3 linked regions of the Arabidopsis thaliana genome follow. The protein of the gene in region 2 purifies or fractionates together with the protein of the main gene of each other region. This does not show direct contact. Each region holds a gene or a part of one and is shown on either strand. Other genes may lie near its edges.

The links.
Region 1: the proteins of PDF2 (region 2) and PFD6 fractionate together in Arabidopsis thaliana (co-fractionation; one large-scale study listed by BioGRID). This does not show direct contact.
Region 3: the proteins of PDF2 (region 2) and PFD1 fractionate together in Arabidopsis thaliana (co-fractionation; one large-scale study listed by BioGRID). This does not show direct contact.

Annotation. Positions count from the first base shown.
Region 1 is NC_003070.9:10,505,525-10,509,684, forward strand, and holds PFD6 (prefoldin 6), read left to right. Parts: upstream 1-2,008; 5' UTR 2,009-2,141; coding exon 2,142-2,217; intron 2,218-2,311; coding exon 2,312-2,382; intron 2,383-2,501; coding exon 2,502-2,626; intron 2,627-2,863; coding exon 2,864-2,924; intron 2,925-3,240; coding exon 3,241-3,297; 3' UTR 3,298-3,627; downstream 3,628-4,160. Other genes in the region: AT1G29980 (choice-of-anchor C domain protein, putative (Protein of unknown function, DUF642)), read right to left, coding at 356-470; MNS3 (alpha-mannosidase 3), read right to left, coding at 4,008-4,160. UniProt on the Arabidopsis thaliana protein: Binds specifically to cytosolic chaperonin (c-CPN) and transfers target proteins to it. Binds to nascent polypeptide chain and promotes folding in an environment in which there are many competing pathways for nonnative proteins.
Region 2 is NC_003074.8:7,965,932-7,970,242, forward strand, and holds PDF2 (prefoldin 2), read left to right. Parts: upstream 1-2,057; 5' UTR 2,058-2,287; intron 2,288-2,646; exon of another isoform or gene 2,647-2,887; intron 2,888-3,135; 5' UTR 3,136-3,148; coding exon 3,149-3,595; 3' UTR 3,596-3,774; downstream 3,775-4,311. Other genes in the region: AT3G22470 (Pentatricopeptide repeat (PPR) superfamily protein), read right to left, coding at 135-1,994; AT3G22490 (Seed maturation protein), read right to left, coding at 3,854-4,018, 4,108-4,311.
Region 3 is NC_003071.7:3,043,637-3,047,460, forward strand, and holds PFD1 (PREFOLDIN 1), read left to right. Parts: upstream 1-1,886; 5' UTR 1,887-2,007; coding exon 2,008-2,031; intron 2,032-2,140; coding exon 2,141-2,194; intron 2,195-2,405; coding exon 2,406-2,511; coding exon of another isoform or gene 2,512-2,515; intron 2,516-2,590; coding exon 2,591-2,597; intron 2,598-2,677; coding exon 2,678-2,762; intron 2,763-2,859; coding exon 2,860-2,970; 3' UTR 2,971-3,268; downstream 3,269-3,824. UniProt on the Arabidopsis thaliana protein: Binds specifically to cytosolic chaperonin (c-CPN) and transfers target proteins to it. Binds to nascent polypeptide chain and promotes folding in an environment in which there are many competing pathways for nonnative proteins.

The sequences.
Region 1 (4,160 bases), on a different chromosome or scaffold from region 2:
ATTAGCATTACTGGTTCGATTAACACTGTTTACTTACTTAAACTAGACATTAACATAACAGATTTCTAATCTTTAGTAAAGAAGAAAACTCAACTTAAAAATCTTAGCAACAGTGAAGTGAAATTGAGGAAAACCCCCAAAAATCTAAACACTCAAAATCCAGATAAAAACTAAATCAATCATCTGAAACTAAATTATTTTGGTCCTCTGTTCTTGAAACAGAGATGGGTTGGATTCAAGAAACCAAATCTTGATAACACAAGATTCTTATTTAAATGGCATTTTTGAGAAAAACCAATCACGCAGAGACCAGAAAAGAACAAAGAAATTTGATGAAGGTAAGTGAAAAGCGTACCATCCTCAACCGCCGGAGACTTGTCGTCAGCGACGGCGACTAAGACGGCAACGGAGACACTGAGCAGAAACAAGAAAATGGAACTCCATTTGCATCTATTGTTGCTCGGAACCATATCTCTCCTCTACTTCTTCTTCGTCTTCCTCAAGATATCTAAATGCTCTCTTTATCTCTCTTCTCTCTCTCTGTAAGTGTGAAATGTGAAAGTGTCTTTCTGTATGTTCTTTTCGGGCAGCGAGCAAAGACAGGGAAGGTTAGTGTCCTTTTATCCAAGATTCCTCACTCCTTGTCTTTTTTTTTCTTCTTTTTTTTTAACTCTCAACATTTAATTTCCACTATATTTAAAGCTCTTTACAGACAAAACTCCATGCACGCATAACAAAAAAAAAGTAAAAGAAATGTTTCTACTGTAACATAGTATTTAATTGTTCTAATTAGTAGAGCCACGATGGAATAAGTTTTAGTATTGACCTAGGTTCTCTCTTTTTTTTTCCCTCTCATTGGATCTGTGCTAGATGCGAGACTAAAGTGGCAACTTTACTTTTGATCCAACTCTATTTCTTTTAGGCTGTGGAGTGAATTATTAGTTTGACAACAACAAAAATGTCTTTGTAAAATCTTCGGCTTTTCACTATTATAGATTTGAAAAAATGTTGTTTAATACGTGAACTTTCAAAATTGGCCATTTAATACGTGAACTTTATATATGGCAAATTAATACATACAAAAATCGTTGACTGACAATTTTACATAAACTTAATCGTTGATCAAGCCAAAATCTACACGACGTTATCTGACATTAACAGACCGATAACAGTCGTTAACTAATCTTCGTTAGTTTCTAATACGACGTTGTTTCGAGTATCGCGAAAACGGAAAATGCCATTTAATACTCCAATTTTCAAATTGTGGTCATTTTATATATCAACTTCACATGTGGCCATTTTATATATGAACTAAACGTTGACCAATAGTTTAAAATATGAGAATGCGTTGATTAGACCAAAAAGACATACCGCTATCTAGACCTAGATATTCAGATTTTTGTTTGGATTCGGTTTGGATTTATTCAAATACCTAGGCCTAGATAGCGGTATGTCTCTTTGGCCTGGTTAACACATTCTCATTTTTTAAACTGTTGGTCAACGTTTAGTTCATGTATAAAATGGCCATATGTGAAGTTGATGTATAAAATGACCATAATTTGAAAGTTGGAGTATTAAATGGCATTTTTCCCGTTTTTGCGATAATCGAAATGACGTCGTATTGGAAACTAACAGAGATTAGTTAACGGCTGTTATCGGTCTGTTAATGTCAGATAACGTCGTGTAGATTTTGGCCTGATCAACGATTAAGTTTGTGTAAAATGGCCAGTCAACGATTTTTGTATGTATTAATTTACCATATATAAAGTTCACGTATTAAATGACCATTTTTTTAAAGTTCACGTATTAAACGACATTTTTCCCGTTATAGATTGAGGTATAAAGGGACGAAAAGTAAAAATTTGTGTTTATGAGAGTTATGTTCAGTGTTGATATGATCAGTGAACTAGAAGATATTACGTCACCAAGTGATAAATAGTGTTTTTCTTTTGTATGTAACTAAAACTAGGCTTGATAATAGAAGAAAAGCATATTGGGCCGTTAAAAAGTCCAAGTTAATACGGTTTTGGGCCTTACTAAAACACGGGGGCTTTAACGGAGTTTTGTTACTGCTCCTTGGTGGATCTGCGAGTTTTCAATAAACCACCGGAGTGAGGAAGAAGCAGACGACGACGACGAAGATGAGTTCATCGACTGTTCGTGATTTGCAGAGAGACCTAGAAAACAAGGCTAATGATCTCGGCAAAATCCAGAAAGGCAAGTTTCGTAGATTCTCGTAACTTTTCTCGATTTGATTCTTTTCTTGTTTCTGGAGGCGGGAAACCCTACTTTTCTGTGTTCATATTTTCAGATATCGGGAAGAATCATCAGCTGAGAAAGAAGTATACGATCCAACTCGGTGAGAATGAGCTCGTGCTTAAGGTATATGTTCATGTCTCACTGTTTAATCTGAGTTTTGTGGCTACTTCAACTGAAAAGAGAAGTTTATTTCGATTGTTGATTGGCTTTAATCTTTTTATGTGTCTGTCTTGTATCTACAGGAGTTAGATTTGCTGGAAGAAGATGCTAACGTCTACAAATTGATTGGTCCGGTGTTAGTGAAGCAGGATTTGGCTGAAGCTAATGCAAATGTTCGTAAACGAATTGAGTACATCTCTGCTGAATTGTGAGTTTCTTTTCTTTTAATGTGATTGAAGCAAATGCAGTTCGTTGAGAAACCTATTTTGGGATTGTTATTGTAAATAAAGAACCTTTCTTTCTTTCTAGGCTAATAGTGAGTGATTGCTGTTCATAAGTAGCTAAAATGTTTTCACTTCTAGCTATGTAACAACTATGAGAGATGTTGATAAAGTGTTTGAGCTATAGTGTTGTGACCTCAAGAATATTGTTGTATCCTTTGCAGGAAACGGCTTGATGCAATTCTTCAAGATATGGAAGAAAAACAAAACAACAAGAGAGAAACGGTAAGACATCTGCCTCTCATGCATTTATATACTTCTTTGAGTGCATTGAATTAGTGATACTAGGACTGCTACACCAATAATAGTCCAAACATTGATGCTCAGTATACTAAGCTCTAAAAAGATACTTTGGTAGCTATTGTTGTCAGTTTAAGCCTGCCCGGAAAGTAAATACTTGAACTTTGTTATCTCCTCTGTCTCGTTGAGTGGCCTACTGGCCTTGGCGCAATATGAGGATTTGCTGTTTCTGCACTTTCTTGGCTTTTAAATGGTGATAATGATCCTATGGTTTCAATTTATGGAATCAAAATATTTGCAGATAATGAAGTTACAACAAAGGCTACAAACTATCCAGGCAGGAAAAGCAAAGGCTTGATTGAGCTACTCAGTTGCAACCACACTTGTTAAACCCTTTCCACTGTGCTCGGCCTTGTCTCAATGGTGTCATATTCAGTTACTGAGGGTTCTTGTGGTTTCAGTTTATTGGGTGATTGATGTCTCTTTGTGTCACTAATCTTTTTTTGTTGACAACTAGACTTAAGTGTGTAACTTATACATGATCTTGTCGCCCTTTATGAAGTTATGAGTTTGGAGATTTACAAAAAAATATTGTGTGTGTGCGCCTAATTTGGTCTTCATACATACTTCAAGTCGATTATGTTCTATGCAACACCTTGCAGATTACAAAGAGCTAAGATGACCAAATGATCTCAAATTTAAAGGTTTATTAGTCATATCAGAATGATCTTATCTTGCAGTGTAAATGGTATGTATAAAAAACTAAAACCATAATTCATCTCCATGTCAATTGTGTCTGATTACATTTTGCCAAGTGAGAGCTTAACGAAAAGAGAGAATATTAGTCTCAAGAAACCTACTACTACAAGCAAAAACTTTTACGAGTTAAGTTATAATTTGGATGCAGAAGCTTATCTTACATTGAAAGTTATGACTTTTTTTCCTCAACGAACTAACTTCTTCTCCAATTGGCAGTGTACTATACATCACTTTCTCCATACCCTCTCTTAAGTTTGTGTATGTGTGTGTGTGTGTGTATTGTCTGGAGTAGTCTTCAAAACTAAGCCTTCAGGTGTTTCTTCTTATTGGTAATGGATGAGCTTCAGTGTTGAAAACAAACTTATCCAATGGTATCACTGAGTCATCTCCAAAGAGCAAGTATAAGTACTTCAATGTTTCACCAAGGAAAAATGTCTCCATCTTATCTCTTCTATGAGGAGG
Region 2 (4,311 bases):
GTGTGATCAAAAACAGTGACGAGAGGACAACTACATCTACTTTATAAATAGCCCCAAGCTTGGTACAATATTTTAGTGATTTGGAATTACAAACAAAAATATTTTCTTTATCTCTTGTAGATCAGATTAGACAATCAAGAAAGCATATCCAAAAAGCTTTTATCCAATCTACGATCTGATAACATATCAATAACCATCTTTATGGTGGAAGAATCTGCAGAGAACCCACACACCTTCATTTCTTCTATGAGTTCAACTGAAGAGATTAGACCACTACCTCCAAGATGTGCCCTGATAAGAATGTTGTACGTAAAATCATCCGGAGTACACCCATCCTCCTTCATTTTTCTAAACAGCATATCGGCTTCAGACAACGAGCCTTTCTTACATAGTCCTCCAATCATTACATTGTATGTCACGACATCAGGTTTCACTCCTTTGTCAGAGAGGCTACAGAATAAACTCCAAGCATCATCGACCTTACTAGCATTGCACATCCCGTGAATGATGATATTATAGATACCAATACCAAGAGTCATCCTACTCTTCTGCATTTTCTCAAATATCTCCAATGCTTTATTTAGTTCACCATTGTCACACAAACCATCCAGCAAAATACCATAAGTTACAACACTTGGTGGCACACCACGAGAAACCATCTCTTGGAAGAGTTCTTTGGCGGCGTTAAGTTTTCCCGATTGACAAAACCCTAGGACAAGAGTGTTATAAGTGATTGTATTAGGAATCAATCCTTTCGAAGAAATCTCACGAAAAAGTCTCATACCATCATCAACTCTCTTAGCTTTGCAGTAGCTATTTATGAGAATACTATAAGTCACGATGTCAGGTTCGCACCCTTTGCTAACCATCAGATCAAACATCTGATTAGCCTCATGTAAGCAATTCTCCTTACAAAACCCATCAATTAATGAATTATATGTAATGGTGTCAGGAGCTATACCTCTTGTGATCATCTCATTGTACAACTCTTTAGCCTCTAGAAGCTTCCCCTCTTTCACAAAAACATCAATCAAAGCACTAAATGTGACAACATCGGGAATGATATTCCTTCCAATCATCTCCCTCAACATCTTTGCACCATCATCCCATTTACCGTCGTTACAAAGACCTCCTATAAGAGAACTATACGTAACAACATCAGCTTTAATCCCTTTCATCTCCATCTCATTGAAAAGGCTAAGCGCATCGTCAAAGCTCCCATCTTTACAAAGACTATCAATAACAATACTATACTGAACAACACTAGCTTTGATATTTCTTTCTTCCATCTTTCTAAACAAATCCAAAGCCAAAGCAGAGTTCCCTGACTTACACAGTCTATTCAAAACCGGTCCATAAGTAACCTCATCAGGTTGAAAACCATACTCAACCATCCTATCAATCAAAACCAAAGCTTCAGACACTCTACCCTTTAGACAAAGTCCATTGATCAGAGTGCTAACGGTTACAAGATCCGGTCTTTGCTTCATTTCCACCATCCGATCAACTAACGCAACCGCTTCAGAAACTCTACCCTCGAGGCAAAACCCGTTAACCAAAGTCGAAAACGTGATTGTATCAGGCTCATACCCAAGCTTCCAAGCTCTCCCAAGAACAGAAAATGCGAAAAGAAGTTTCTTTTTTCTACAATAGCAATTGATCATAATGGTCATAGTATACATGTCATGCTCAATCCCATTCAACTCCATTCCCTTGCAGAAACCTAACACTAAATCATACTGTTTCGTTCTAGCAACAGCACTACACAATCTATTGAAATCGATTGGAGTAGGTAAAGGACGAGATTGAATCATGGATTCGAAGAGATCAATAGCATCATTAACCTTAATATCAACAATCCCATTCCTTAATCTCTCTTTATAAGAAAGCTTCGCTTCGGTGATACTAGAATAGTGTAATAAAGAAGTACCTTTCTCAAGAATCTGAGTAAAGTTCGAAGCTTTTCGATTTAGAGGAATCAATCTCTGTATCATCTTCTTCAATGAATGAATCGTTGGTCCTTTGTGCTGTGTGAGAGAGAAGAGAAGAAGAAGGAAATGAAAATTCCGGTTTTGATTCATTCATATATTTAAACCCGGTTCAATGTTTTGATTTAAAAATCAAAGCGGTTTTAATTGGGAAAGGTACGAGTTAAACCCAACCTTGTTTCTTCATCTTCCTCACTCTCTGCGCCGCGTTTGCTTCCATCGTTCTCTCGATTGTTTCCTCTCAAGCGAAGCTTCTTCTTCTTCGATCTTCTTCCTCGTGTGTGGATTCGTTTCTGAAAGTAAGTATTTTTGTTAGTTGTTGATTTTTTTTTGTGGTTCAAATGGTCTTAAGATTTGTGTCGATATCGATCTCGGAGTAAACAGAATCTAGCTCTGGAATCGTAGAAATTTTCACTGAGACTTCTTAGATCCCAATCAAGCTTCGTTAATGTTAGAAAATTAGCTTAGATCATGGAATATATGTGTTGAGAGTTGATATAAGTAGACGTTGAAACCCTAGTTTGGAGAAATAGCCCTGATTGTTGAAAAGGATGTTAAATTGGTTGTTGTTATCGTTTCTATGTTTGAGTCTCTGTTGCCATAGTTTGAGATTGGAGTATTATGTAGGAGATGATACACTGTTAGTGAACTCATATACGTCTACTTTGTGGAATGTTCTGTGTTGGTTGCTTCTACTTGTATAAGTGTATTTGATGCTATGAGACTGATGGATTCTGAAGGATAAGCTATGTCATTGGTTTAGATGTGGCTGTTGTAGTATTTAGATCTATTTGATGGAAAAGGGCGTGATTGTTCGTGACAAGATAGTGATGGAATGATTGTAGGATTGATCTTGATCTGGTAAAAGCCTTATGCTTCACCATGTTTTGTATTTTATAACTTCTGAGAGAATAATGAATTAAGTATGAATCATTCTTGAGGTAAGATAGTTCTCTGCATTGGTTAAGTGATTAGTATTCTTTCCAATGTGCTTGGAATTGTTTTGTAACAATTGTGTTTTTCGGTTCGTAGTTGTGTCAGATGCAAATGTTTCTCTGAGTGTTGTTGTTTGAGTTTCTTTATTGATTTACTCTCATTTTTTGCTTCAACTATGCAATTCGTGATTTCTTGGATCTAATTTCTGTAGTAGGATCGAAGTAATGGCCAGCAAATCTGGAAGCGGTGGCCTAAGAGAACCGCCGAATGAGCAAGCTGTTTTGAACATGTATGAAGGCAAGAGATCAGAGCTAAGCCAAATCTACTCCAACATAACCGACCTCGAGATGCAAGTGAGCGAACATTCTCTGGTCATTAACGCCATTCAGCCTCTCGACCAATCGAGGAAATGCTTCCGCATGATAGGAGGCGTTCTTGTCGAAAGAACCATCAAAGAGGTACTACCAGCTGTCCAACGTAACAAGGACGGACTTGAAGAGGTTGTGAGGAAGCTATACGAGACATTGGAGAAAAAGAAGAAAGATCTTACAGAGTTTGAAGCTAAGTATAAGATCAGGATAACGAAACAAGAAGATAACAAGGAAGGAGGTAACAAGAAGGAAGGTAATGCTCAAGGTGTTCTTGTTGGAGCTGCCAGTTCAAGCCAGTAAAACTCTATATTTGGCAGTTTGTTTTACTGTTGTATCTCTTTTTTGGATCTTATGGTTAAAAGCCGTAAACTTTGCTGGAAAAAATCAACATGTTTTGAATGTCACAAAACTAGTAGACTGGAGAAATGCCATATTTATGTAGATCCGTTGTGCTAGAGAAAGATTTCAACTTTATAACCGGAAAGTGACCATTTTTTTACATTATGACTGAACTTTTTTGAACAACAGAACCAAAACATCTCCCTCTCGCAGGATTTTTCATATATCAGCTCTCTCGTTAAGCCTAGCGGCGGCAGTAATAGAAGCCGCTACACCACCAGGGTGAGTAGACAAATTAGGATTGTTCCTCAGCTCAGCGCTCACCACTCCCTCTGCGTCCTGCCTGGTCACAGCTTTATCTGCGGCTAACTTCCCGGTCGCACCCTAATAAGCCATCCGGTTCAAACACATTTAGACAATCTTAAAACTAAAACATTAAGACATTGAAGATGTTTTTAAAATTGGGGTTTAACCGCCAAAACATCAATGAGCTTGATTTTATCCTCATCACGGTCTATGGTAGCGTTGTGATTTGCTGCTGATTGAGCAGAAGCGGCGATTCCACCAGGAGCAATCACATTAGTGCCACAAGCTCTAACCTCTGCCGCTTGAATCGCTGCTGCGTCGCTTTGATCCACCGGTTTGTTTCCAGCGGTTTGCACAGTCGCTTCCAATGC
Region 3 (3,824 bases), on a different chromosome or scaffold from region 2:
TGTTACCCGCCAATCACATTTCTCATCGGCACAGTTTAAAACAAATGAATCAAGTTTTGTGCGTGTTTGTTTGAAGTGAAACATATGCCTAATAGCATATATAGCTAATCCAATTTGGCAATCCGACTTGCTAGCATAAACTTTTCCTTTATATACATCTTCACCGTCAGCCCTATCTATATCCGGCATTATGGCAGCTTCATACTCCGTGTCATCAAACAGAGGAGGAATATCAAACTCTTCATCGTCCACATCCGACAGCTTCCTATTTTCTCTTGCAGTTTCATTTGTATTACAATCACCTGTTCTATTGTTAACAACTTTTCCCGTTCCACTGCTGTTTGCAAGTAAATCAGTTGGATGCTTAATCGAAGACGTTATCAAATCATCAATTTCCATGTTCGAACCTGCACCTTCCACACTGGCCACCAATTCTGTGTCTACTGTTGGTGACGCAAATCCCATTCTAACATCAGCATCTTCTTCCCCGACACATATTATATCCAATGCATTTGAGCCACCCATGTCCTCATCCAAGAATGGGCTCCAAAACTCCACATCATAAGATTGGGGTTTTACTTCTATAATCTCATCCCAAGTAAGATCTTCGCTTCCTTCATCCACTAGATCTTCATCATCAAGATCTTCAGATAAAATTTCACTAACAAGAGGACCTCGTTCACAACCTATAACTCTTTCTATAGTTTCAAGTTCTGCAACAAATTCTTCATCTTCGGAGGACAGCAAAAATTCTTTCAACCCGACCTTCGATATACTATCTTCTGATCCACATAAACGTTTCGACTTATTCCCTCTTCCGTCATCTTCCTTAACTGAACTGGTCTTCACTAGCCCACCGTCAACCTCAGAATTGTTTAAAACTCTTTTACAAGATGTTCCAAACTTTACAAACATGTTGGTTCCAACATTTGCTTCCAATATCTTCATAAAATAACTTAGCCCCACATCAGTCGTCACGACGACCGGTGGTGTTTTATCTCCGGTGGTAAAATCTCTTATATTTGGGGTACAGAAGCTTAAATCAACCTTCGTACTCGTTGAAATTCCAAATTCTACTCTAATGGCTTCCACGAATTCTGATAGCTTAATACCTTTATATACAGGCACAATTCGAGATTTCATTACCTTATTAACCTCAACATACCACTTCTCATCCTCCTCGCAATTCCAATCCCCGCATATTACATAACAGAAGCCATCCTCAGTTCCCTGCAATATATAAATTTTTTATCTTAGACAGTCAATAATATATCAGCGAATATTTTCTACTATTGTTACCAATCCATTTTTTCTTACCATCGTTATGATATCTTTGTTAGTTGCTTCAAACTTCAGAGCTTCTCTTTCTTTTGTTCATCGTCATTCAAACTTCGATGACATAGTTATTCGTTCCATGCTTTCTCCGGTTTGCAAAAACAAAATAAACCGGTTTCCCCAAACTCTTACCCTAAATAACCGATTTTACTTGATTTAATTAATAGGGTCAATTAAGTCTTTTTCCCCCTTATAATTGATCACCCTTATAATTGATCAGAAGTGTGCCTGTCGGCAAAACTTTTGCTCAACATGTTTTCGAAAGTGTATGATAATGCAAATCACCCTTAAAATATAATATGGTAAAATAATTTGGTGGTGTTAGCTGAATTGGTTACGATACAAACAATGGTTTGGGTGGTTGATTATACAAGAAAAAAAAGACAATGACTTTGAGTCTTTGATTTACAAAATCATGGTACAATCTAAAACCAAATGGGTAAATTAAATTGTGTTATTGGGTAGAATTGTTTGTTCCAATGCAAACACATATTTTTTTAAAAGTATAAAATCATCGTTAATTATAAATGGGCCGATTTGACCCAATAAAGCCTTGATAAACCGGGCTAAGCCGTCTGAAACCCGACCCGGGTAGTTCTAACTTTTTGACCCTAAAACGAAAGACCCTTCTCTAGCACGTCGGGGTTCGTTCAAAGATCAAGATCTGCAGACATGGCGGACGAAGCAACCAGAGCTGTGAGTACCTCTCTCTCTCTTAAATCAGCTCAATTTTCTAGTGGAATATTCTTCTTTCCCCAGTAAGATGTTGCAGAAAATGGAATTGTAATGTGTATAGTTACAACAGGCTTTTATGGAGATTCAAGCTAGCATGATTGAACTCACTGGGAAGCTCAAACAGGTGAATCCTCACTTTCTTTGTATTTATCAAGTTTTAGAATCAAACGTGACACATTGTATAAGGGTTTACTTGTAATTTGTTAGTTCTTGAACTGTGTTTGGTTTTATAATCCCTTCTTTCATGTTGTGTAATGACAAAATTGGCTTTCCTAGGTTATTGTCATGTGGTGCTGAAAAACTGAAATGTGAATGTGGATGGGTTTTATATATAGGTGCAGAATCAGATGCGCAACAAAGAGGGAGATAGAAAGCGAGCTTTCTTAACCTTGGAGGAGCTGAGGCCATTGCCTGAAGAGACAAACACCTACAAGTCAATAGGCAAGTGATTCAATTCTCTGGTTTTGAGACAAGGACTAGTAAAGTTTTGGTCTAATTTGTGTTTTATTCTTGTTTTCAGGAAGAACGTGAGTGGTGGTTATTAGTCAGTCCAACTAGAGGCCTTTAGAGAATTTTGAAGGCTGATTATAGTTTGTATGGTGAACAGGTTTGTTCTAGAGCCCAAGACAGTGCTGGAGGGTGAACAAGAGCAAAAACTCAAGGACAGTGAAGCTGCCGTTGCTTCTCTACAGGTAACAATCATTCCCTCTTTCAACATCTTATTGGGTTATTAGGAGATCATTGAGATGCTGGTTATCAAACATGTTTTGTTTTCGGGATGATTTTTAGACATCCAAGGAATACTTGGAGAAGCAGGTAGCAGAGGTTGAGAACAACTTGAGGGAGCTGTTGCAGCAAGAACCGGGCATTGCTCAACAGATTATGTCCATGTCTATGTAACTTTTGTATTATCCCAAACCTTTGAGTTTGGAGAGCTTTTGGGATTGAAACCATAACATGTTCTAGTTAAAAGTTGTAACATTCAAAAGTTTTTGTTCGATCAGTATTGTTTTAAAGCCTCTGGTCTATGATATTGCAAAAAACTGAGATTTCTTATGCGACAACAAATGCATGATCTATCTAACTCGAAAACAAAAATTTTAACAAGGATGAGGTCTCTCTATGATTCTTCGGAGAGAAAACTCAATCCTTGTTCCACCGTTCGGTATGCTTACCGGCTTTCGTTGTCCGGATGAGAAGACTTTGTTTCCGGTGTGGTCTGGCTCTGTTTTCGGTGTGATTCGGCTCATATTTCGGGTATTTGTTGCTAAAATGGAATTCGCTTTGTTTCTTGAGGGAAGATTAGGATAAGTCGATTGAATAATTTTCCGGCGATCTTGGCCGGAATTGAAGCTTTCTGATCAACGGAGACTCTCACATCTTCAACTTTGCATGTGTCTTCTAACCTGCTTCCTGCTTGCCACATGTCTAATATAATGCATTTAAGCTTTTCCTTCAGCTTTCTTATTGGACTTTGTTTTCTTTTGTTTGGCTTCCTTGGTTTAGTGTTTGTAAAATATTGGCATGTTACTTTGGCTTTCTATACTAAATAAAACACACTTTTGACAAAAAAAAAAAAAAAAAAAGACTACAACTCGAGATTGCATCTAACATTGTGAATATATATAAATTTAACCTCACAATCTAAACACAAGTAGATGTAATATATATTATGAATTCAGTGAAACAATAGTTAAAACTCAAGTTGATCAATCATCAATAGCATGTGAGCAATAAGTGTCAAAAGAGATACA